Alligator mississippiensis: one gene and its partner. Each later gene encodes a partner of the first gene's protein in a complex. Links are inferred from orthologs where the notes say so. Each region holds a gene or a part of one and is shown on either strand. Other genes may lie near its edges.

Region 1 (12,488 bases):
TCCAGTTTAAGGTCAAAGTAAAAGCAAGTGTATCTTTATGGGCTATAAAGCATATGCTATGTCATATATTGTGTGCAAAAAACACAACAAAATAGGCAAAAGTAATTAAAATATGTTGTGTCATTACTCTTGTAGTCATTAGAATGAAATATACAGGGTCTTCATAAAATCATTGTGCACTTTTAAACTTTAATAACTTAGGTTGTAGGTATGATAGAAACAATCTGTAAATGGCATTTAAAATCAAATTTATTAAAGTTTTAGGACAACTAGAGTACACAATACTAGACTTCAACATAACCACCACTTTCTTTTCACAGCTGATATGGAATTCAATTCTGCTAGCCATAGGACACAGTTTACCTTCTCGTCTACAGTAGCCATTTTTCATTTGTCAAAGGATCTGAAATAAGAATAAATTCATTATTACTTATGAAGTCTAGCATTGTGTACTCCAGTTGTCCTAAAACTATAATACATTTGCTTTTAAATGCTGTTTACAGAGTGTTTCTATCATACCTACAACCTAAGATATTAAAGTTTAAAAGTGCACAAGGACTTTATGAAGACCCTGTACATCTCTTTTCAGCTTTATAGAACAAAACCTAGGCTTCTTGAGCATCTTGCCAGTGCATCCAATACTTAACTGAAGGTTATTTCCACACCTGAGTTAATGCTCACCTGAGTTAACATTTCCACACCTGAGTTAATGTTTTTAGCTAAAGTTTAAAACAGTCTGCAGGAGGTATATTACCAGGAACAGCTACCAATTAGCAGAACTGCAGAAGAAAGAATAGCTTGATAAGTGGAACATCAAGGGCACTGAAAAGGAGAGAGGGTTGTTAACACCTGTGGAATAAAGAGTTCAGAAGGAAGGAGTGATTATAATGAGCCATGAAGACAAATGATTCCCTAACTGCTGCCTGAATAGGAATGCTGCTGCCAGACAACCAGTTTTAAAATTTGGGAGGCCCAGGAATCAAAGGAGGGGGGTGTGACTTTACCACTGCTTCCCCCCTGGATCTGCCCCTGACATTGCCTCCCATTTGGCACTTGGGCAAATTTGGAGCAGAAAAGACTGGGTTACACATAACAAACTTATGGTGGCACTCCCAATTGTAGTATGGAGTTACTGTGCTTTTGTACAGCATTTAGTATGGTACCTTAATCCCAGCTGGTCATCCTTGAGAAGCTACTGTAAATAGCAGTAGAAATTAATAATGAGCAACATTTGACACTTGTATCTAGAGGGAATATGCAAGAGATGCAAAAGCAGTGCTCTGGTTTACATGTGCCCTACTTTCTATTCAGATGTAAGAGGTTCACTCTATTTCCTTTCATTTTAAAATAGCCCAGCTTCTTAAAAACCTTAATTAAAATAAAAAAGGTGAGATTAGAGACTAGCAGTAGTGCACATACTCTAAAAATGCACAGGTTTAGGCAAATAACAGATGTCTGAAGCTTGTGGCTTTGGCCTTCTTTGAGGCTTTCAGGAAAACAATCTTAATAAGCAGGTACTAAGGTTGGAATTCACTCCTAGGCTAGTACAAGATCTATCCACCAATGGAATTAAATGAAATTTAATTATGGCCACAAGCTAGCAGACAGCAGATTTAGACTGGACATTAGGAAGATCTTCTTCACAGTTCGAGTGGCCAAGGTCTGGAATGGGCTCCCAAGGGAGGTGGTGCTCTCCCCTACCCTGGGGGTCTTCAAGAGGAGGTTAGATGAGTATCTAGCTGGGGTCATCTAGACCCAGCACTCTTTCCTGCTTATGCAGGGGGTCGGACTCGATGATCTATTGAGGTCCCTTCCGACCCTAACATCTATGAATCTATGAAATCCAATGAAATTAAAGCTCCAGGGAGAATTCAGTGATGTGTGGGCTTTGTGCTGGATCTCTGCACATGGCAGATTTCACCTTCCATATATATATATATATATATATATATATATATATATACTGCCTGTGTGCTTCATGCAGGAACTTTGCTACGAAGCACGACCTACTTGTTCACTCTGGATCCCTCCGTGCCAGGGTTGAGGCAACGTAATGGGCTTGGGGTGGGGCTGAAGCCACGGTCTGGGGCACACTGTCCCTGGCATGATGACTGGTGTGTGCTCAGCACTGCTCAAAGATGGCTACATTCCCATCACTTTGGGTAGGTGATGCATATGGAGTGGGAGTGAGTGGGTGCGGCATATTCCGTGGTGATAATCCCAGGCATGACATGGAGGTGATATAGAAATGCCCAGAAGGTGAAATTCAGCCCATGCAGACAGCCAGCATAAATCCTACTTGAGCTTTAGTTTAAGGATTTCATTGGCTTATAGGCCTTGTGCTAGCTAGTCCAGGAGTGAATTTCACCATTAGCCTGCCATAAAAGGACGATGAAGGGGCTAAGGTGGTATCCTAGAGGGGGCAACCAGATTGCCAAAAATGTGTGTTTCTTTTATTCTTTTATGATTCACCTTAATTTGCATTTCTTGGTTGTCCAACGTATTATTATTATTATTAGCATCAGCATCATCATTGTGCTGTTGTTGTTATAATAATCAGTATTATGTAATTTCAGCCTTCTTGTAACATTTTTAACATTAATTTAATTGTCATGTATTCCCTGGCTTACCTCCAATTTAGTAAAGTGATTTATCAGGGGAATTTTACTCATAATTATGATGGCAGTGCCCAGCAAGCACTAATAATATTGTTGTACTGAAACACAGCCCCATGTATCTTTTTCTGTCTCTCTGAAATACAGACATATACTGTGCCCTTCAGAGGACATTCCACTGAGGCCCCTGTCACACGTTAAACTTAAGATGTGATTAACCAGTTAATCATGTCTTAAGTTGTGACCCAACTACACATTCAATTAATTAATGGTGAAATAAAAAGAGGAATAGGCATGTAATAACTGTGTGGCTGGTTCCTATCACACCATTAACCAAACATGTGGCCAAGGTCAGTTAAAATAAAAAAGGTGAGATTAGAGACTACCCTTGTGACTGGGAGCCCCATTAGCTGATGTGGCTCTCAGCTGCAAGGGTGCACTATGTGCCCTCACAGCTGGGAATCTGCAGCTGATCTGGGCTCCCAGCCACAGGAACTCATGATGTGTCCCCGTGGCTGGGAGCTTCATCAGCTGAGGGGGCTCCCAGCTGTGGGCCCTTACTACTTGCTGATGCAGGGGGAGCCCAGGATCATCATGCCCACGATCATGCCCTGGGCACCACATAGGGTAACTAGGAATAATGGCCATAAGTTGATAAAGAGCAGGTCCAGGCTAGACATCAGGACGCATTACTTTATGATTAGGGCAGCTAGGACCTGGAACCAACATCCAAGGGAAGTGGTGCTTGCTCCTACCTTGGGGGTCTTTAAGAGGAGGTTGGATAGACACCTGACTGGGGTCAGATGACCCTAGCATCTGTTTCCACCCAAGGCAGGGGGGCGGACTAGATGATCTGTTTAGGTCCCTTCTGACCCTAGCTACTATGATAATCATGCCTTACATGGGCAATAAGGCATGATGGGAGCAGATGCATGATCCTACAATCAAGCCTCCTGCCATGCATGTGTGACCCACATCTGATCCCATTGCATCTTTACCTGCTTGCCTGGTAGGAGACTAAATTTCATATGTTAATTGAATAAATTACTCTTAATACACAGCTGAAGCTGAAAAATACAGCATGCAATATTTAGGAAATTCCAAAGAGCTCAACAATAAATCAATCTGGACAAAGTATGACATCACCCTGGCTAGCATACCACCTTAGCCCCTTCATTGTCCACTTATGGCAGGTACTAATGGTGAAATTCACTCCTGAGCTGGGACAAGATCTATCTGCCAATAAAATCCTTAAGCTAATGCTCAAGTGGGATTTATCCTCTGCTAGTGCCTGGTGGGAAATACTTTCTAATGTGGTATTACTGCAACTGTGGTACTACTGCAACTGAACTGTTCTGAGCATAATCTTTGGTGACTGAAAGTTCCAGGAGTTATCTTCCAGGGACATCTTTACCTTTCCAGTCTACTTCTTCTGTGTCTTCTTTCTCCTGCTAAGGCCTCTCCTCTCCTTTTCAAGTTCCTAAGCCCCCTGATTATGTCTTTTGTTCCTTCTCAAAGAGAACAATATGAAGAAACTGCAGGTACCCTCAAAAGCCATGCTTATTAATATATGTGTATGTATGCATACACATGCAAACATACATGTGTGTGTATCTATGTGTATGTGAACATATATAGAACACCCTGAAGACCAGCAGGCAGACAAACTATTTACAGTGGCAATAACATATTTGAATACCTTGCAATTGTCAAATGCAACATAGATTTCTCATGGAGAAGAGATCTCTAGAGATCATACATTTTCTCTCTCCCACTATCCATCCCAGACTACCTTCTTCCTCTCTATCTGCATTCTGCCTCCAGTATAAGTGATTGGAAACTGGTTTATACCCATAACAGAAGTCTGGCACACAAAACCAGTCTATACCCATAGCAGAAAAGAAGTTCAGCACACACAGGGTGGTTTAAAAACGGCAGAACCCAATCTAAGATTTGTCCCCTCAATAAAAGAGTGAATATGTGTTCTGTTTGCTATCAATCTAAATGATGCCACTTATAGAAAACCACATAACTTAGATCAATTCCTCATTGGGCTTTTTGAATGCCTGTACCTAAATTTTAAGTCTCACCCCCACTCTGTATCCTTTTCTGTCTACTTTTATGGTAAGGTTCTTATAGAACTAAAGAAAAAATGGTGACTTGTACATAGTGTTTTTTAGCCAAAAAATATATTCCCGCTACAGAAAGGATGAGATCCACCATTGAAATTTATTGTTCTTAGTGTAATCTCTATAGAAACTTAGGTCTCTCTTTTCCTCCTCAGTTTTTCCCATGGTGTATTCTGTTTTTTCCTGCTCACATTTCCCCCACTAACTGTGCTCTGCACTTAATCCTCAGAGATCTTTCCCTTTCTCCCATTCAATGCCCTCCTATATGTAGCCCCTTTAAAATCCTTTAGTTCTCTAAGGTGTTTCAGAGCTAAAGGTGCCACTAGGCTTTATCTCCTTTTTTTGATTAGCCATATAAGTAGTTTCACTACAACTGACCCCTGGTCTACAGCTGGGATGCAAAGCAAGGGAAGGGGGAAGGATTCCGGTTATTTGGCATTTAAAAGTCACATAATTATCTAGGCATCTCAGTGAGAAGTGGCTACCCATCTTGGATGCTTCATTTTTTTCAGGGGTTATCTTGGGATCCCTATAAATTAGTAAATAATGAAAACTGTGGGGAAAAAATGTCTATTCTGGGTTCAAAATTGTGAAGGGGATGTTGCACTTTCCTGAAATAGGAAGGGACTGGACTTGAGCCAGGAGTCTCTTCCAACTAGATGTTCCTCTGAAGCCCCCTTGGCCATGTGCTGCAATGTTATATAGCTCACTTTAAAGAGACTTATCAAAAAATGAGAAGTTCCTGAGATAGCAATGCCCAAATTTAACATAACTATTTCACTGCATGAACATCTCCACTGTTGCCTGAATTTCCTATGCTGTTCCTGAGATAAAAAACAAACCACACTTCGTTCGCCAGAGCACAACTTGAGAAACTCCCCTGTGTGGCAATTGCTCTCGCTTTCCCAGAGCTTGTGTGCGCTCAAGGGTTTATTTCCGGGACATGACTCTTCTTTTTCAGTTTGCTGCAACAAATCTTGAGAACTGACAATCTCCTTGGTAAACAAGACTGGCTGTCAGCTCACTGATACCAACATCTCCTACTCTAGCAAATATATTTGGAAAGAAAAGATAGGCTATCAGCAGGGGAACAGGTGGTATATTCCAGCTAATCACTAAGGTTATAATGAAAGGGGCTGGGGAGAGCAGGGTGGGGAGGAGAGAGAGAGAAAGAGAAAAAAACGGGGAGAAGTACAAACCTGAAAGAAAATCCATAGTGTCAGTGACAGATATTTGTGCTAGGAGTGTATTTACCTTGAGCTGGAGTAAAGCCCTTTCGATCTGAGCTGTTCTGGGTTGGGTTATTGTTTAGGAAAGGCATTCAGTCATTGTGTTTTGTTGCATGCTATTTGCCTAAAAGGAATTCTAAAGGGATTTGCTTTCTCTTGTTTCACGAGCCCCACGTTTTCATACTGACCTAAGTGGATGTACACCAGCTGGTCATGTCCATCACAGTAGCCAAGTCTGAGAATTCCTGATTATACTTAGATCCTATAGAGTCTGCAGCAGGGACGGTCAGTAGCTGAGGAACTTCGTAACAAACCACGGTTTAAAATGAAACAGGCAGGGAACCTGGTGCATTTTGCCTAAAGGAACCGGCATTTTCCTGGATTAACTATGAAAGACTTAATAAACATTCCACTTTTACATATCTTCACCCTGGCGGCCTTCAGCTTAGCCGAAAAACTTCCAAAAGGTTTGTTTAAACAGCCTTCATCTTTTCATTGCTTTTGTCACTTACGGCATTTTTATAAAGGTGCTGAAGTCTTTTAAGTGTTGTATAGGGACTGTTGTTTTATTTCCGGAAACTGTATAAATACGCTGTTTTCATTTTCACCTGTCATAGAATTTCTTTATGTTCTTTAGAGGAGATCAATGAAATAATCCTGCATTTATATCTAATGCTGGCAGTTGTTTTATTCTCACAGAAAACAAAAAAAATACTCAGTGCCACTGTGTGCACATATTAATGCATATATATTTACTAGATGTGCATATATATAATACCTATATAATTAAAATAAATTGACATATACATATATGCATGTTGCATGATAATAAACCTATATACAATATGTGTGTTATTTATATAGTTTATATGAAAGGTACCTTTACCTTTCCATATGGAAGTCACACAAGTTCAAGACAATATGAGGCTGAAGTTATAAAAATCTGTTAAAAAATGCAAGTTTCCTCCAGTGGGAATTAAAGATTTACCACATCAAGCACTTACTGCCTGTTGGGTGAAGGGTTTTATTTCATCTTATTAGGACAGGATGAAAATGTACCGGCAATAGCTTTCAGCGTCTTAGGAAGAACAAGTAACTGATTTTGGCCCATGAAGCTGATCATTATCTACTTTACCAGTAGCTCTGCTCTTGTCTAGCTGATTTTTTGTAACTGGTACCCAGATTGATACAAAGAACTGCAAGTTCCTTACTTCACAAAAATACTGAATTTAGACAAAAGGTGTTTTTGTTCAAGCAGCAACACCAACTCAAATAGTGGAGACTGTCCGCTTGCAAAGCCTGCAAAGCCTGCAAAGCCTTTGGAAGACCAAAATAAGACTTTACAAATGAGAAAACAAATAGGAATAGATATGATATCTCTGATAGCAACATGCAATGAAAAGAAGTATATTTTAATGAAACATTTTCAGTGGATTTTCTTTTTAAGGAAGTGTGATGCTATATGTTCAGGTGAATTGTCATATTAAACTTATGAATACAGCGAAGTATGCTAGAAAGACCACAAGGCAGTAGCTGTTTTAGATTCTGCAGAAAAACTGGACTGTCATTGCCAAGATCAGGCCCCAAGGAAATACCTAACTAGAGAAAGAGTACCATTTGCAAAAAATCAATAACACTGAGGTAAAGCTTTATTTTTCCATTTCACTTCTTCACTTTAAAAAAAGAAAATTTAATAAAAAAATAACAACAATCTTCCACTAGCTGATGGACTGATGTTAGAACAAGACTCATGGTCTTCTCATAGGAAGTAATAAACAGTAGAGTTTTTAGGAGTGGTCTTAGCACCTTTTATGCCTCCTGAATTTACAGTGGACATTCAGGAAAATGGCACCTCGGTGGCCTTAGGGATGGAGAACTAAGTCTTGTGATTATGTATAAAGTCACAGCATTACTTAAAAACGTCATGGATATGTTCCTATGCGGTGTGCCATTACATACAAAAGACCTGGGCTCTTTTTTTAGTCCAGTGTTAATGCACCATGATTTTTTTTCTCAGCCTAATTAGAAATGTGGCATGAGCTGCATTTTGAGGGTTTTTTTCTCTCAATTTTCCTCAATATTTTAGCTTTGAGACATTGGTCATTAAAATAAGCACCGTCACCGCCATTTTTGGGTTCTCTTTCTGAGCAGCAACAAAATGGTGGCTTGCCCCCCATGTGACTCGATCTCACAAGCACATCAATGACTTCCTGGAAAGAGGCCCTTCTCTCCTGTCATCCTAGAAAAATAATACTTTCTTTATCTTCTCTTTTTCTCCAACACTGCATTTTAATAAAGGAAAAGAAAAAAAATGGTAGGACAGTAAGTATGGGATATACCCAGGTATTAATATTATTGTTTTAAAGGTTTAGAAAGGAACAAAGGGCCCTTAAAAATGGTGAGGCTTAGCAAGTTTTCTTTTGCTTTTTACAATTGTATTAGTAATTTGGATGGTACTTCCTATATAACATAGCTTTGATAGGGCTCAATCCTGTTCTCTCCTGGCTGGAATGGAAGCCAGTATGCAAAATGCAGGTCTGTGAAAATGCAAATGTGTAGCAGTGAGGTTCAGAGGCTCTGTGAGACAATAGGTGTGAGACAGGTAGTTGTGGGGGAGAAGGGGGAAAATACTACGCATTTGCATTTTCACAGACCTGCATTTTGCATACTGACTTCCATTCCCGCCAGGAGAGCACACAAAGCAACAACAAACTGTCCCAGTGCCTAAGGAAGGGTGTTTGTACCTGAAAGCTTGCAAACAACAATTTTTCCAACTATTTAGTTGGTATTATAAAAGATATCACATTTACCCAAAGAACCTTGTCTGCTTATGTCCTTAGACCAACACGTCTACAACCAACAACCCTAAACCCTAGCCATAACATTTGATTCAGAAAATAACAGTCATTTCTAAAATGGACAGAGCAACATTTCACTACATAATACACATTCTCATAACACGTTTTCATAGGACCCTGGGGTGAAATCTTGACTTCTCTGAAGCCAGAAGCAAAACACTCATGGACTTAAGTGGGGCATGCACTTCACCCTGGTTGCAATATTTACTAACATTGAAGGAGACATTTCTGACCGTGTAATTAATTAAGGCCCTAGATCTTTTAAAGCAGTGCTACCAGGCAATAACCAGATACAGACCCAATATTTTAGCTAACTTTAGCACATAACCCTTAGGATCTTAGGGATCTTTCAGCTCTATAAATATGACCCTCTTTTCACATTAATAATACAGGTACTGATGTCTATTAGCAGCTCGCTGTCAAATTGGAGAGAAAGTTTATTGGCATAGATTTACCATAGTGGAATTTTCAAATGTACAAAATCTCAATATTTTCAATGGTGTACAATAATATGTGAACTTGAAAGGTGTCATTAGTATGAAGGAACATATTTGTTTCTCAGTTCCACAGATATTATTCCAGTTCAACTCCATAACTCCAGTGGAGTCATAATTTTATACCCACACAGGTGATAGAAGAATTAAGCCCAAAGTTCATGTCATACCATATAAATAATCTGATTAATCTGTACCAGAGTGCTTTGCATTATCTTATGATATTTAGTGAGATGAAAATGGTGTATTTAAAGTTGTAATGGTATATTTAAAGCTCTGAAAAATTAAAGTTGATTGCTTAGGTAAAGGACAGAAGATATAATGCATGAAGTTTTTTCTGTGAAGAGACATAAAGTATACCAAGAATCTCTGCAGTTAACAGATCATGTCTGTTTGGTAATGTACAGATGGGCAGGGTAATTTTTGTCAATTGTGTAAAGATTGGTGCCATTTCTCTTGTCCCTTCTGCACTGTCACATTTCACAGAGAAGGCATAAGCGTAGTTTCTACATACACAGCTGTCAAATAAATCCAGTTCAATGAGCACTGGATATATGTCTCTAACAGACATACATGAGTAGTGCCTTTTGATCTTTTATCAGCCTGTACCAAGAGGGGTGGAAAATACCTTTCCAAAGATAAAGCAGAATTTCGTATGTGGTGGGTCTGTGACAAAAAAAAAAAAGATATTTATTATTTGCATGACACCAAGTGCTACTTGATGAAAGAAAGAAGAAACAAATGGTTGTGTTTCTGTGCTATTGCCACACATGAGGAACATCTAGAAATGATCCTCATATAAATAATAGCATTACATTTTTATTTAAAAAATATCAAAATACCTTTGCAGTTCATCAGGTCAAACTAACAACAGGGATAACTGGATCTCACATGATATTCATCAGTAGTGAGGTAATTTACAAAGACAGAGAGAAAAAGGAGTTTCCTTGCTTCCATGTACAGACTACTCACATTACCAGTCCATGAAAGAGAGCACATTATGTGCACGCGGATAGCGCCTTGGCTGTATCCTCTCAATGTAGCTGAATTGTCATGGAAAGGGAGGTAAGGTCCAAATTGTGACTCTACATATCACTTAAGGATTGAAGTAATTCCATGCTATATATGGAAAGTATAAGGAAAAACATGATATAAGAATTGGGACACTGCAAAAAACAAATGCTCATGGGGACCTCAGTTAAATTGAGCTAATGGAGGGGGTACAATGTACATTCCTGAATTTTCAAGGGAGTTATCCGGTGGTGACCCTGCAGGGAATGTGGCTTTTCTTTATGCTTGTAAATGTCCTTGGTAATTTGATACCATTAGCAGTTTTTTCTCACAAGAGACCCAGCACTGAAAGAGCATGTTTTCTTTTTCTTTAAATTCCAGCTCCCCTTATTACCACTCCTCCGGAAACAGTAGATGCATTAGTAGAAGAAGTTGCCAAATTCATGTGTGTGGTAGAATCCTATCCTGAGCCAGAGATTACCTGGACACGTAATAACATTCCCATCAGGTAAGACTGCAAACCTGAGGAAGGTTTATAATATAAGCACACCTTTGTCCATAACCTATGTGCTGGGCCTGGTTGGCAGTTTTCCATCAAAAACTTTTATTTTCCCCACAGTGGAAAATACAGCATTTATATATATATACAAAGAGATTTTGCTAGACTTTTTCAATTTTCTATCAGGAAAATCTAAAGAAAAATTTTCCTTTGCAGTTTTTTTGATCCAAACTGAAACGATCTGTTTCATGTCAGTTCAAAATGTGTCTGTGTATGCCTGAATTGCTGTGGTGCTTCATATCCCAGTTCTACTCTGTTGACCAGGCTTGTTGGCAAAACTACATCTGGTATGATGCACCTGGGTCTCCCTCTGGTTGAACCAGCAGGGTTCAACATGGAATAGGTGACCACAGTACATCAGAGAAGGTGTAGTGCATCTTGGGGGCTTCCTTAGCCAGCTTGGACACATAAGGCAGCAGTTCAGGGATGTCAGATGAATGAAGAGTCAAATCAAAACTTGGGGCACTGACAGATGTGAAAAAACAAAAGAAAACAAAACAGCACTTGGCTGGAAGAGGAAGTGTGTTAGTTCAAAGCAGCTCCCCAGCATCTATATAGACTGGGCGCTTCAGCGGGGCTTTTTGGTGTTTTTATTTAAAGCTGATTCAATTAGCTATTAAATAAAAGCACTAAAAAACCCCACGAAAGTGCACGATCTATACAGATGTTAGGTGAGCCGGGCTGAACTAACACACTTCCTCTTCTGATAAAGAGTAGCGTCACTAAAAAGACATGCGCCAGCACTACTGCACAGTAACTCTGGTTACTGAACATTAATTCAGTACTTGATTATAAAAGTACTAAATTTAATGTGCCGTGACTGCTCTTCATAGAGCAGGAAGTGGAGATGAGTGTAAAGCAGCTGCATAGGTAAACTTCTGGCTCTGGAGCATGTCACTGGATTCATGTGGGAAAAATATGCTCAGTCCCATCACCCTTGAGACTGACCTCTAATGTGGGATAGAAAAGCCTACAAGTGCTGTTGCTGATTCATTTTACCCATTTAGAAGAGAGAGCTGACACTTCTCTAAGTAAATTGGTGTTTTGAGACTTTGTGTTTAAAAAGCATTTTGAAATCCTTTCACAGAAGGGGTTTTTCAAAACAAAATATTATTTGAAACATGGCTTTTAACGTCTTATACACTGTCAAATCTCATTCATTACCCACTACCACATCATCTAAAACCCCCCCCAAACAAACTAAGCACTCATATGCATTAGGAATTTCATTTCAGGGAGGTAGGGAATTGTAGTATTGTTGCAATACCTACATTTTTAAGATAGCCTCTTACAAAGGTAAAACACAGTCACTTGACTTCTAAGCATCTTGGATCTGGCAAATTCTTTTACATTTTCTCTTTCACATTCTGGACCCTTGTTTGGGTCTCTCTGTTTTGGAAAATTATAATAAACTTTGCATAGTAGCAATGAGAGCTACTTTATTGCAGAATTTGCACATTAAATTAAAAGGCAGGGTAATCTTGGGCTGACAAAAGCTTATGCTTATACAGTACAGCTCTGATTTAATTAGGTGTAAATCTACCCTGCCTTCTTCCTGACTTCAGACTACCATGGCTAACTATCACTCTCTGC
Region 2 (12,323 bases), on another chromosome or scaffold:
AGTTCTTGTCTATTTGGGGAAGGTGTGTTTATGCAGTTATGACTCCATTGTATTCCAAGGCCTTATATAAAGAAGGTAATACTTATCTCTCTAATGGAAATAAGTTGCATGATAAATCCTAGGATCACTTTTGCTTTTGCAAGGCTGCATTACATTGGTGGCTCAAAATTAATTGATCTTGTGATCAGTTAATACAATCAGATCTTTTACTTTCTCTGTCATTTCCAACTGATCAGCTGTTAGATCAAAAGTGGACAATTACTTGGGCCCACAGGCCACATAAGGAGTTTTGACGAGCTGTCATGGGCTGGGAAAGCACCTGCACCCCATAACGGCTCACCAAAATGCCCTAAACAGCTGATTCCATCCATCTGCCCATGCCCTGCCCACGTGGGTCCTGGCTGCCACTTACTGTTTGGGTTCTGTGGGCTGCTGCCACTTAGCCAGGGATTCCAGCCTCGGCCCTGTATGCCCATCTCGCTCTTGGATACCACTCCCTGCCCATCTGCAGCCCCATCATGGCTGAACGCAGAGCAGTCACAATCTGTTCCTAACATGTCCTTGTGACAGGCACCAATTTCACGGGCCACGGCCCAGGGCAGAGCTGTGCTCGCCGCACATTCCTGCCTATGAAACCAGTGCCCATTGGAGGGGCGTGCAGGGAGCAGATTTTGGCTCTGTTTCATGCTTGGTCATGACAGGGCCACAGACCGGCAGGCAGGGCTGGGATTCCTGGCTAAGAGGCGGCAGCCCGCAGAACCCAAACAGTAAGCGGCAATTTCGTGGTTGATGGGACTAGGTGTTGGGAGCTGAAGGGCCCCAGAGCCAGCAGAATGCAAAGGGCTCCTGCCAACTTTGCAGTCCTGGCAGGGGATCAGGCTCTTTCTGTGGATTCCCTGACTCCTGGTGCTGAGCATTATCTCAGCTGATGCTAGGCTAGCATTAGCCTAGTCTGAATGGCTCTGGGAGGGAGACCTATGTGGGCTTTTGCAGCCATTTGCAACCCTGGGTGTGGCTAGAATGAGCAGGGGATGGCAACAAAGGGCTGGCTGGGTGGAAGCAGAGCTTGGCACCATGTTGAGGCTTGGGAGGTGGAGGAGCTGGGCAGGGCTGCGTGGGGCACGTCAGGTGGCAAGTGCCGGGTGGTAGCCAAAGGGGGTGTGCTGTAGATGCCACACAGTATGGATGATTGGGAATAGCAGCTCCATGAATGCAGCCAGTCACTGCTGGGCTCCTGTCCCGTGGTGCCTGGCGCAAGGTCTTGTCCTGCTGTCTGTCAGGCACTGATACTCCCTTTGATCGCCGGGGCAGTAGTGGCTGTCTTGGTGCTGGAGCTGTGACTCCGAAGCCAGCAGCTACCTTCATTCTCTTGACAGGCATGTCTAGCGCTGTGGGGCATCCTGAGCTGGGAGGGACCTGCCGAAGGACAAGCTGCAGGCCAGACAAAATCCCTCCACAGTCCAGATTTGGCACACAGGCCCTATTTTGCCCTTCCTTGCTTTAGATTATGCTAGAAATTCTTGTTAGTAGTACCTTGTTGAATGATTACATGCCACTCATTTTCTGTTTCTGCAGTTATTAGGGTCATCCATTTTTATAACATATTCTCAATTTCCTTTGTATTGAAAATGCCCCTCCCTCCCGTTTTCATCATCACAGCAGCATTTAGTGCCAAGGTTATTAATAAAACTATTAAGTAAGATAATTTTCAAGAACAATTCTTAAGGAGCATCTCTAGAAGTTTCCCTCCAGCCTGGCAAGTTTTCTTTTTGGCTCAACCTGCCATTAGTTTCCTCTTTGCCAGTTCCTCACCCAGGTTACAGTTCTGGTACTGATTTTCCATCTTCCTCATTTTAACTAATAATTTTCCATAATAATGAAAGATCTTGGGTTAATCTGGTACCGTTTACTTTTGGTAACCTCACGTTCATCACATTTTCCATTTACCTCTATATTAATTTCCCTTCCTTTGAACTTTGTTGTAAAGCTTGCTTGAGAGGTCAGAGTAACAGGGGTGGGGTTGCCCAAATCACTTTTCCCCCCTTTCTTAAGTATAGCTACTAAATTTACTGTTCTCTTGTGGTTCAGTGCCACCCCTGATTTGTCAGCGTATTGAAAATGTTTGTTACCAGACTAGCAATTTCATGTGACAATTCTTTCACAGTACCTTGGGATGGAGATTATTTTGTCCAATTTGAGCATATTAAGCTCTTTGAGATTTGCTTCCCTCATGTCTCCTCCTAAGAATTTAAAGTACCTAGCATGTTTTTTTGGGGCCGGGGGGGGGGGGGGTAGGGGATTGATGGGGGCCTTATTCAGAAGCACAAATGACACTTAACTACTTAAACTGACTCCCAAGTTAGTTAGGTGTTTAAACTGCTATTTTGTACCTTTCAAAAATCTCCTCCTCTGTAAATAATTAAGATAGTATTTGCAGGCTGCCACGCACATCACCTCCTACATTAATACGTCTGCTTAGACTTTCCACCAAAAAATCACCTCCAAATTCAGCAGGAGCATAAGAAGCTTTAGTTCCCCAATGAAATTAATTTGACAAAGTTTGGAAGTGTGGAGGTGACAGTGCAAGCTGGTTATCAGTATAAAAACCTTGCCAACTCATGATATAATGTATGTCTTTAGTTATACACTAGCCAACTGCTGATCAAAAATGATTGGGGGGGGGGGGGGGGAAGCGGCCAGGGACAGCGGCCTGCATCTGGCACTGCTCCTCCCCCCAGCCTTCAGGACCAGGCCGTTCCCCTCCCCCCACTGGCCACTTCAGGGCCGGGGCCAGGCTGCCTCCCTCGTCTGCTCTGTTGCTGCTACCTGCAATACTGGGGGGCCTGGCCAGTGACTCTGGCCTTGCCCTGCCCCCTGTCCTCTCCGTTTTCGTGGCCTGCAGGGAGCAGGAGGGAGAAGGCCAGCGCTGCTGGCCCTGCCACCCCTCTATCTGCTCTGTCACTGTCACCTGCAGGGTTGGGGGGCCGGGGCCAGCAGTGCTGGCCTTGCTGCAGGGGGGCGGGGCCAGTGCCACCAGCCCATTCACTCTGTTGCCGACTGGGGGGTGGGTGGGGATAGAGGCCCTGGGCCAGGCTCACTCCCCCCACCCTCGACCCTGCCGCTTTGGGGCCGGGGCCACTCCCTCCACCCCCACCCAGGGGGCTGCTGGGGACAGAGCCCAGCATCCGGTCCTGTACTCCCACTCCCCTTGTCCCCACCCCCCCAATTTGTTTTCCAGCATCCCCCCCATCGCTTCGGGCCTGATCCCATTCCCCCCCAGCAGTTTGGGTTTAGGGCCGCTTCCCCTGTCCCCCATCGCCGTGGCGGCCCCACCCCCATTCCCCCCTCGTGCCACCACCTCCTCCATGGAGCAGGGGGGAGGGGGCCACTCCCCCTTTGCCCCACTCTGCCAGGGGCTGGGTCTGGTCCTCTCACCCTCCCTGCTGCCATTGCATGGCCCAGCTCCACCCCCCCATCCTCCATTTTGAGGCCAGGCCCGTGCCCCCTCATCCTTCCCACCTCTGTTTCAGGGCCAGGCCAGGCTCCCTCACCCCCGCCGCATTGGCCCGGGTCTGCTGCTCCCCCGCCATGTTGGGAGGGAGCAGTGCAGGACAGAGAGGGGGCGAGGCCAGTGGTGCCACCTCAAAGGAGCAAGGAGGGTGCTCTGCTGTCTGCTCCATTGCTGTCACCTCCAGGGAGCAGGGCTGGCCTTGCCCTCCCCTGCTCCATCCCGTGTCCCCACCATCATGGTGGCACTCCTCCACGCCACCACCTCCTGTTTGAATGCTGCATTCACACTTTGCTGGGATGTTTCCATCAGCCAATCAGAGCACGCATAAAGCGTTATGGACAGACAGACAGACAGACTAAGGCTTTTATAATATTAGAATTATGGGATCATCCTAATTATTGTCTTCTGGAAAGCAGGGTAGACTTGTAGCTTATAGATTAACTAAATCAGAAGGTTTCATAAGCAACAGCTTACTTAATCAGATGCGGTGATCAGCCGCTTACAAAAACTTATACATCTCTGATTTAGTTAATCTGCAGTGTGCATATCTACCCTGCCTCTTGCCCAGAGCAGGCTTTAGGGAAAATGGCACTCTGGGCGAGCTTGTATTTTGGCGTCCCGTCCCTGCTGCCACCTCTCCCCCCATGGGCAGAGGCAGGCAGGCAGAAGCGCTGGATGCAGTCCAGCGAGGAGGTGGAGCAGCATGGTGTGCCAGGCAGGCAGGCACCACTGCTGCCACCCATGCTGCCCGTTCCAGCTCCTCCTAAGCAGCCGCTGGAGGTGAGAGGTGGGCTGGGCACCATTCCTCTTGCCTGGGGTGGGGATCTGCTTGGGAGGGATGGGGAGATAGTGCTTCTGTGAGTGTGGGCTGCCCACGTGTGTGTTTGTGTGTGTGTGTGGCACCCCCCCAACCAGGGTGCCCTTAAGGCCGGCTCTGCTCTTATCTGACTTCAGACTAACCCTAACTGCCTCTCTATTGTCTTTTAGTCTGGTCTTCAGCATAAAAAGAACAGAAAATTTGTGCAAATTACAGTGTTCAGTTCCAAGTTTTCCATCCAGCAAACAAACCAGAAAATCAAATGTACTGTTTTATATACACAAGGGCTTCAATGAAACCAATGCAGTTACCAAGTGCTTAGTTACACCTGGACTTCTCTGTTGTAGTGGATCCTTTCTGGGTGTTTGGGTTTGAGGCTCTGGCACACGCCATTACTCAAATCTGGCTCTGTCGGACTTTGGACCTGTGGCTGCTCTAAGGCAGTGATTCGCAGTCAGTGCGGTGGAACCGGGGGGTGCCCTGGGATCCTGTCAAACCTACCAACCATTTCTGCCTTTGTGCTTTAACACAGCGTTTCTCAAAGCGGGTTGCAAGAATATTATGAAAAGATTATGAATAAATTTGAAAAATGGAGCATATTTTACATGCTACTGGTGCTTCACCATTTGTTAATTCTGTGCATATTAATAAACAGGAATCTGGGTTTTCCATTTGCTGCAGAAGAAAGCAGCAGTGGTGGCTGGCTCATGGCAGTGGGGTAGAGCCAAAGCCCAGTGCACAAATGGCTGGTGGCAGGAGAAGATGGGGGCAGCGCCCACCACATTACTCCTCGTGCTGCTGGCAGCACGGCTGGCGTGGGAGTCCCAGCAGCAGTGGTGGCAGCAACAAATCTTGCCGCCCTGCTCTGCTCTCCCGCATTGGGCCAGGCTGCAGCCCGTGCCTGCTGTGGGAGCACAAACCTGGGAGTGGCACGTGGCTGCCAGGCCCCACAGGTCCCCCTTGCCCCACACACTGGGAGGCCGTGTCGGGCGGTGGGGCAGCAGGGCGGGAGTGAGACGCACCAGCAGCACTGGTCCAGTTGTTGTGGTCATCCATGGGGGCAGCGGGTCTGGAGCGACTGGCACTGGCCGGGCGGGAGGCTGTTTTCTACTTATCTATTGGGCTGGCACTGGCCATCGATGTGAACAAAGTGCAAAAAAGGGTTGGGACCCAACACCTAGCACGCAGGCTGGCTACCTGGTGTATCCTGAACCCCGCTCCCCAGAGGCCTGTGGGCAAGTCGTGGGCATTTTCAAGGGCAGACTGGACAGAGGATCCTGCCTGACCAAGCGCCCGGCCCCTTGCAGCCAGCCCTGCGTCCCAGGCGTGAAGTAAACCGGGGGCTGCTCACCCGTTTCTTCCCGCTTTCGGGAGCCTGCCCGCAAGGCGGCACGGCCGCGGCAAGAGCGCGGTCTGCGGAGCGCCCTCGCCCCCCGCGGCCGCCGCACAAGTGGCCGCTGACACCGGCTCCCGCCGCGCGCCGGGCCCGGCGGCACACCTCGCACGTGACTCCGACCGATGCCGACGTCATCAAGAAGTTAACAACCCCTCCCCACAAACCGCCGCTTCCCCGGGGGTCCCGCCCCACCCCACCCCACCCCCCCGCGGCCCGGGGCAGCGCGAGCCCCCAGCGGCGCCCGGGAGGCGGCAGCGGAGCCTCCCCCCCCCAGCGCCGGGGGCCGGGCCGGGCCGGGCCGCAGCCATTGCGCGGGGCGGCGGCAGCCCCGGGCCGGGCGCGCTGGCAGTGACCCCGGCGGGCGGGGAGGGGAACCATGCCTGAAGATGACGGATGCCGTGGTGGTGGAGGGGCACGTCCGCTGGAGGGATGGAAAAAAGGTCCCCGCTTTGCCTCTCCCCAGGGATCCCCCCCCCCGCCCCGCCCCGTCCCCCCAGTCCCGTCCCGGGCTAACTCTGTGCTCTCGTTGCAGTGGAAGAGCAGGTGGCTGGTGCTGCGCAAGCCCTCGCCCGTGGCAGGTAAGGGCGGCGCGCGGGGCCCGCGTGGGGGCGTGGGGCCGGCCCTGACCCGACCGCCGTGGCGGAGTCGGGCTGGAAGCGCCCCCCGGCCTGCCAGCCCGCGGGGGACCCGGGGAGCCACCTCCTGCCTCTGGGACCCGGTGTCAGTACGGGCCCCCGAGGCAGAAACCAGGGGGCATCGGTGCTCACCCCTCACATGGCCATCGGCGCGGCCTCGGCCCTGGCCCCCACTCCTGGCAGCGTCGCCCGTCCCCCTGTTGTCACTACGGGGAAACGGGGTCAGGCCCCGCAACAGAAACCCCCCAGCCCTGACACTTCTCACCGTGCGGGATGTGTCCTGACCCCTAACACGGCCGTCGGTGCAGCCTCAGCCCTGGCCCCGACCCCCTGGCGGTGTCGCCCCTGTTGTCACTGCAGGCTCCCGGAGAGAGGGTCAGGCCCAGTATAGAACCCCCCCCCAGCCCCCACACTTCTCACCAGGGAGGGAAATCCTGTCCTGACCCCGAATACGGCCATCGGTGTGGCCTCAGCCCTGGCCTTGACCCCCTGGCAGTGCCCATGGGAAGCTGTCAGCAAAGTTGGCAAAAAGTCTGCATTCGTTAAGTCCAAAGCTGGTCACAGGCGCCCGGCTGCTCTAAGGCTGCCCCTCAGCCACAGGGCTCCCCCCCTGCTTGCAATAGATGTGGAGGCTGAGGTCGGGTGCAGCTCAATGGGGTTGGGGGGGTGGACATTACATATGACATTAAAAAAAATCCACATTGCAATTACAAAAATATTTCTTTTATATCACTCGTTGTGAACCGACTTCCAAATACCAGTGTTTTCTTGCTTAAAACTTGCATTTCAAAGCAACTGTTATTTTTTAGTTTATGCCAAAATGGCATTTTAGTCTATTTTTGTTTGTTTGTAAAGCTTGCCCTTTTTTTAAGTTGCGTGATTTTTTTTATTGAATCCACTCATAGTACTAGTAGTAGTTGGACCTGGGGTAGTATTTAATCAACATATTGACATTAAATATCAAGTCAGTTCAGTTTTTTAAAAAGACCCAACTAAAATACTGTAAGTTAAACTGAAACAAACAATTTCCTTTCCATGTTTCCTGGATAGAAATTTGAAATTTTTCCTCAGAAATGATATTTTCCTATGGAGGATTGAAGTTTTGACAGCACATCCAAAGTTTTCCTGTGGGGAAATGTTGCACAGAAAATTACTTCTAGCTCTATTCCTGGTTTTATCTCCTATGTATATGTTTTGTGAGTCTGCTTTACCTAAAAACGGATGTTAGAATCGTGATTAATTACTTCTATGTTCAGATGTAGATTTATATTTCTCTGTTACTTTGGTGTAGGATTAATTTTGCATAATTGGAAGTGTTAAATATTCAGTATCCTCAATACCTCTGCTGATCGAGTCTATGGTTTGTAAAGACGGGAGTTCCTAACATTGATATTTACTCATCTGCATCCCAACTTCTTGAACCCAAATTTGAAACCTTGATTCTTCCAAACCCTGCATATTGTTACTCTGTGAAACTTATTCTACTTTCAAATGGAATTTATTATAGCAAAATTGAGCGTTTTTGTCTAAAATCAGCGTGCTGTTCCTTTAAGTGTCTTGGGGCTATGCAATGTGTGTCTAAAAAAGCACCCTTAAACTTTGTATTTGCAGCTGTTTCTGGTAACAGGTGCAATATTACAATCCAGCATGTCTGCAAAGTTTCCCTTTAATTAACGTACAGTGCATTTTTCAGTTGTTTTTCACCTCTTTGGAGGGGTGCCCATGCTTTGCCCAAATGTGAGCCATATTGGCAGCTTGCCAGGCCTCGGAGTGCCCCACCTAACATTCATCAAATGGAACACGGGCAGCTGCCTTGTCTGTAGCTTGGGACTAGGTGTGAGCAATGGAAGTTACAGGGGAAAAGTCTTGGCTTGAGCTTTTTGCATTTATTTCCCTCTGTACGGAGCACAACAGGGTGAGAAGGGGAGCTGCAGCCTGTGTGGAACTGGTGTCCTTGCTGTATCAAAGAAGGATACAACCCGTGGTGCTTTTCCTTATTGATCTGGATAGCTGTGAAAAGCTTGCCTCCAGCGCACCCCTCATGCTGTGATAGTTTCATCGCTTTGCCTAGTTATGAAGCAATAAATAAACTTTAGGAATGGGTTAAAAAAATGGCGACTGCGACTGAATAGAGAGCAAATAAAGGTGCACAGCACATAATGATTACGCAGTAATATACCCTGCGGAATATTTTACGAGGTGACCTGAGCTGAGACCAACAGCCTTTCTGGCAATATAGTCCATTCACCATTTAATAGTTGAGTAATCTGGGAACTACTATAAGAAGTTCATTCAGGTTCGCTGCCTTCTACAGGAAGAGGATTTGACAATACTGCTAACTCTAGCCTTCCTGAAGTAAAAGCTTACATTACAGTAATGCCAACTGGAAACATTCAAAAATCACAAGTCAAGCCCCCCAAATTATCAGGTTGTCTCACAAATGATTAGATTTTGAAAGCAAATGACCAGTTTGGAGATCTTTTTAATTGCCTTCTTATTTCTGAGCCTGTAAGTTAGACTTGAGATATATCGTCAAGCTTTCTTTATTTAAACAGGTGTTAGAAATGTACCTTAAAAAGGTGAGCTCAGACTGCAACCATGCTGTTGCCAAAAGCATTAACTGTTGAAGCTGAGTCCTGAGAATTATAGCTGTTCTGCTTCATGTTTTCTGACAATGTTGCTTCTTTCAGATTGCTTACTCATGTTGGTGTACAAGGATAAATCTGAGAGAGTGAAAGGGCATAAGGAGAGGAGTAGTGTGACCTTGGAGGACATCTGTGGCCTGGATCCTGGGCTCTCCTATGAGGGCTTGAATCACACACTTGCCATCATCTGTCTGTCTCAAGTTGTGATGCTGGGATTTGAAAACAAGGAAACTATGTATGCGTGGGATGTCCGGATCCGCTACAGTTTGGGAGAAGGTAAACTTTGTCTTCTACTTTTTTTTCCCCTCTTGGAAAAACCAAACTAAATCAGAGCTGACATACAAAAATCTGGGTACAGTTCAGGAGAAGATTATTGCTGGTCCCAGAGTAAAAAGACCTTTTCCACAAGACCCAGATTAGGTGCCACGGGCAGTAGGTCATATGGGTGATACTGTATACTAGGAGTGTCTCACTAGTAGGTACATATTAGTACTGGCAGTTGGGTTTTACTGTTACATTTGGGTCAGATAGTGAAAGCATCGGTTAAAAGGCCAGAGTTTTATTCCTACCCTTTCAAGTAGCTGTGAGAGTTATAAATTACTTGTGTCATTAGTTTTTGGATTTATTATGAGTCCATGGGCTCAGAGAGGTCAAGAACTCTAAAAGGCAGAGCCATGATTAGAATTTGAGAGTGGCTAAATTAGTTACACTTGATCTTTCCTTGTGACAAGGAGACAGACTAGTTGAATTCTTGAGGTCCCTTTTATCCCTGGTTTCTAAGGTTTTAGCTCCCAGTTCCCTGTCCAGTCTGTAGAGTGTGCTGCTCTGGTAACATCTGCTCTTGTATCCATATAATAGCAAAATCCCACAGAAAAGATACCATTCTTGGAAATACCTTTTCCTCTTAACTTCTAGGTGTCCTTAATTTTCTGTTCTGTGATTCTAACTTGTGTTGTTGTGACCAAAAAGTAGTAATAGTGTTCTCATAGAGATAATCCAGAGTATTTGGATTTTAGTATATTGCAAAGTTTAGGATGACAGACATTTATTATTGCTGATGATCATGATGATAGTAATCTATTTATATATAATGTATCTGTTAATGGTAATGGGCTTTTGCTAAACACAGTATAAATAGAAATGCAGCCCTTTCCTGAGAAACTTTGAGGATAGGTGAAAATAAGATTTAAGCACAATAAGAGACCTTTAGGAAAGTGCAGTCAGCAGAGTTTGGTAGGTTTCTTGATATGACTCTACTGCAGTGATTTTCAGTCAGGGTGCTGTAGTATCTTGGGGTGCCTTGAGATCCTTTTAGGGGTGCTGTGGGATGCTATGCAATATTAGCATTGTTAGGTGAGCAAACATGATTCACAAGTTGTACCCAGGGATTTCAAATAGGAATCAGTAGGTTCAAAACATTCTGCCCTGTTGTGGTCCTTCTGAGTTCTCTGCAACAGAAGAATTGCTGTATTATTTTTCTGTTGTTACAAACCGAGTGAAAAATAAGAGCTGGCATTTTCAATGGGGTATCTTGACTCTAAAAAGCTTAACAACCACTGTTTTAACTGATATAAAAGAGAAAAAGATACTGGAAGGTGGGGAAAATGAGAAGGGATAGAGGCAATTCGCACTAAATCTTGGCAGTCTTCTTGAAGTTAGGGAGATTCCGGGCTGAGAGGGAAGAAGAACGAAGGTCAAGGGCTTGAGGCAGTTACAGTGTATTGGGAGGTAGATATTGGATGTGATTTAGGGATGAGAAGTGGCACTATTGTGCAAGGATGGAGGTGGGCAGTAAATTTAAAATAGAGAGAGCTGGTTTTCTTTAGTAGGAGCCGGTACAACATGGTTCATGGGCTAGATAATAGAGCTGGGCAAGAGTCAAGCAGAGCAGAGACAGTGGAATTAAGGAAATCAGTTATAAATTTGAGGGGGCTGAGAGATGAGAATGTGAGCAACAGGACAGTGATAACAGGACCTCGATGGACTGGAGCTCATAGGATGAGCTGAGGTTAGAAAATAAATTTGTAGAATTAAGAGAAATTGGGAATCCTAAAGGGAGTGCACTAAGTAACAGAGCAAAAAAAATTATCAAGGCTCACATTTGCGAGAGCCCGGCAGGACAAATTCTGCTGAGGGGAAACCAGCACGGGTTTGTAGCAGGCAGATCGTGCCTGACCAATCTAGTCTCTTTTTATGACCAGGTTACGAAACGCCTGGACACAGGAGGAGGGGTGGATGTCGTATACTTAGACTTCAGGAAGGCCTTCGATACGGTATCCCACCCCATACTGGTGAACAAGTTAAGAGGCTGTGACTTGGATGACTACACAGTCTGGTGGGTGGTGAATTGGCTAGAGGGTCGCACCCAGAAAGTCGTGGTGGATGGGTCGGTTTCGACCTGGAAGGGTGTGGGCAGTGGGGTCCCGCAGGGTTCGGTCCTTGGACCGATACTCTTTAATGTCTTCATCAGCGACTTGGACGAGGGAGTGAAATGTACTCTGTCCAAGTCTGCAGATGACACAAAGCTATGGGGAGAAGTGGACACGCCGGAGGGCAGGGAACAGCTGCAGGCAGACCTGGACAGGTTGGACAAGTGGGCAGAAAACAACAGAATGCCGTTCAACAAGGAAAATTCAAAGTGCTGCACCTAGGGAGGAAAAATGTCCAGCACACCTACAGCCTAGGGAATGACCTGCTTGGTGGAATGGAAGTGGAAAGGGGTCTTGGAGTCCTAGTGGACTCCAAGATGAACATGAGTCGGCAGTGTGACGAAGCCATCAGAAAAGCTAATGGCACTTTATCGTGCATCAGCAGATGCATGACGAACAGAACCAAGGAGGTGATACTTCCCCTCTATCGGGCGCTGGTCAGACCGCAGTTGGAGTACTGCGTGCAATTCTGGGCGCCGCAATTCAAGAGGGATGCAGATAACCTGGAGAGGGTCCAGAGAAGGGCCACTCGTATGGTCAAGGGCCTGCAGACCAAGCCCTACGAGGAGAGACTAGAGAAACTGGACCTTTTCAGCCTCCACAAGAGAAGTTTGAGAGGCGACCTTGTGGCTGCCTGTAAGTTCATCACGGGGGCATAGAAGGGAATTGGTGAGTATTTATTCACCAAGGCGCCCCCAGGGGTTACAAGAAATAATGGCCACAAGCTAGCAGAGAGCAGATTTAGATTGGACATTAGGAAGAACTTCTTCACAGTTCAAGTGGCCAGGGTCTGGAATGGGCTCCCAAGGGAGGTGGTCCTCTCCCCTACCCTGGGGGTCTTCAAGAGGAGGTTAGATAAGCATCTAGATGGGGTCATCTAGACCCAGCAC

Evidence for each region.
Region 2: the proteins of MUSK (region 1) and DOK7 are in contact, whole or in part, in a crystal structure (PDB 3ML4), measured with the Mus musculus proteins. The link is inferred for Alligator mississippiensis from reciprocal best matches to the Homo sapiens genes MUSK and DOK7. Residues at the interface, in NP_035074.2 of Mus musculus: Leu547, His548, Pro549, Asn550, Pro551, Met552, Tyr553, Gln554, Arg555; in NP_001335203.1 of Mus musculus: Leu154, Ser155, Asp156, Leu157, Arg158, Arg159, Tyr160, Gly161, Gly172, Thr173, Arg174, Ser193, Asp197, Val200, Arg201.

The regions. Positions count from the first base shown.
Region 1 is NC_081826.1:166,226,548-166,239,035, forward strand, and holds the start of MUSK (muscle, skeletal receptor tyrosine-protein kinase), read left to right. Parts: upstream 1-6,087; 5' UTR 6,088-6,361; coding exon 6,362-6,440; intron 6,441-10,717; coding exon 10,718-10,844; intron 10,845-12,488.
Region 2 is NC_081825.1:21,752,134-21,764,456, forward strand, and holds the start of DOK7 (protein Dok-7), read left to right. Parts: upstream 1-5,910; 5' UTR 5,911-6,110; coding exon 6,111-6,164; intron 6,165-6,256; coding exon 6,257-6,302; intron 6,303-9,049; coding exon 9,050-9,280; intron 9,281-12,323. UniProt on the Homo sapiens protein: Probable muscle-intrinsic activator of MUSK that plays an essential role in neuromuscular synaptogenesis. Acts in aneural activation of MUSK and subsequent acetylcholine receptor (AchR) clustering in myotubes. Induces autophosphorylation of MUSK.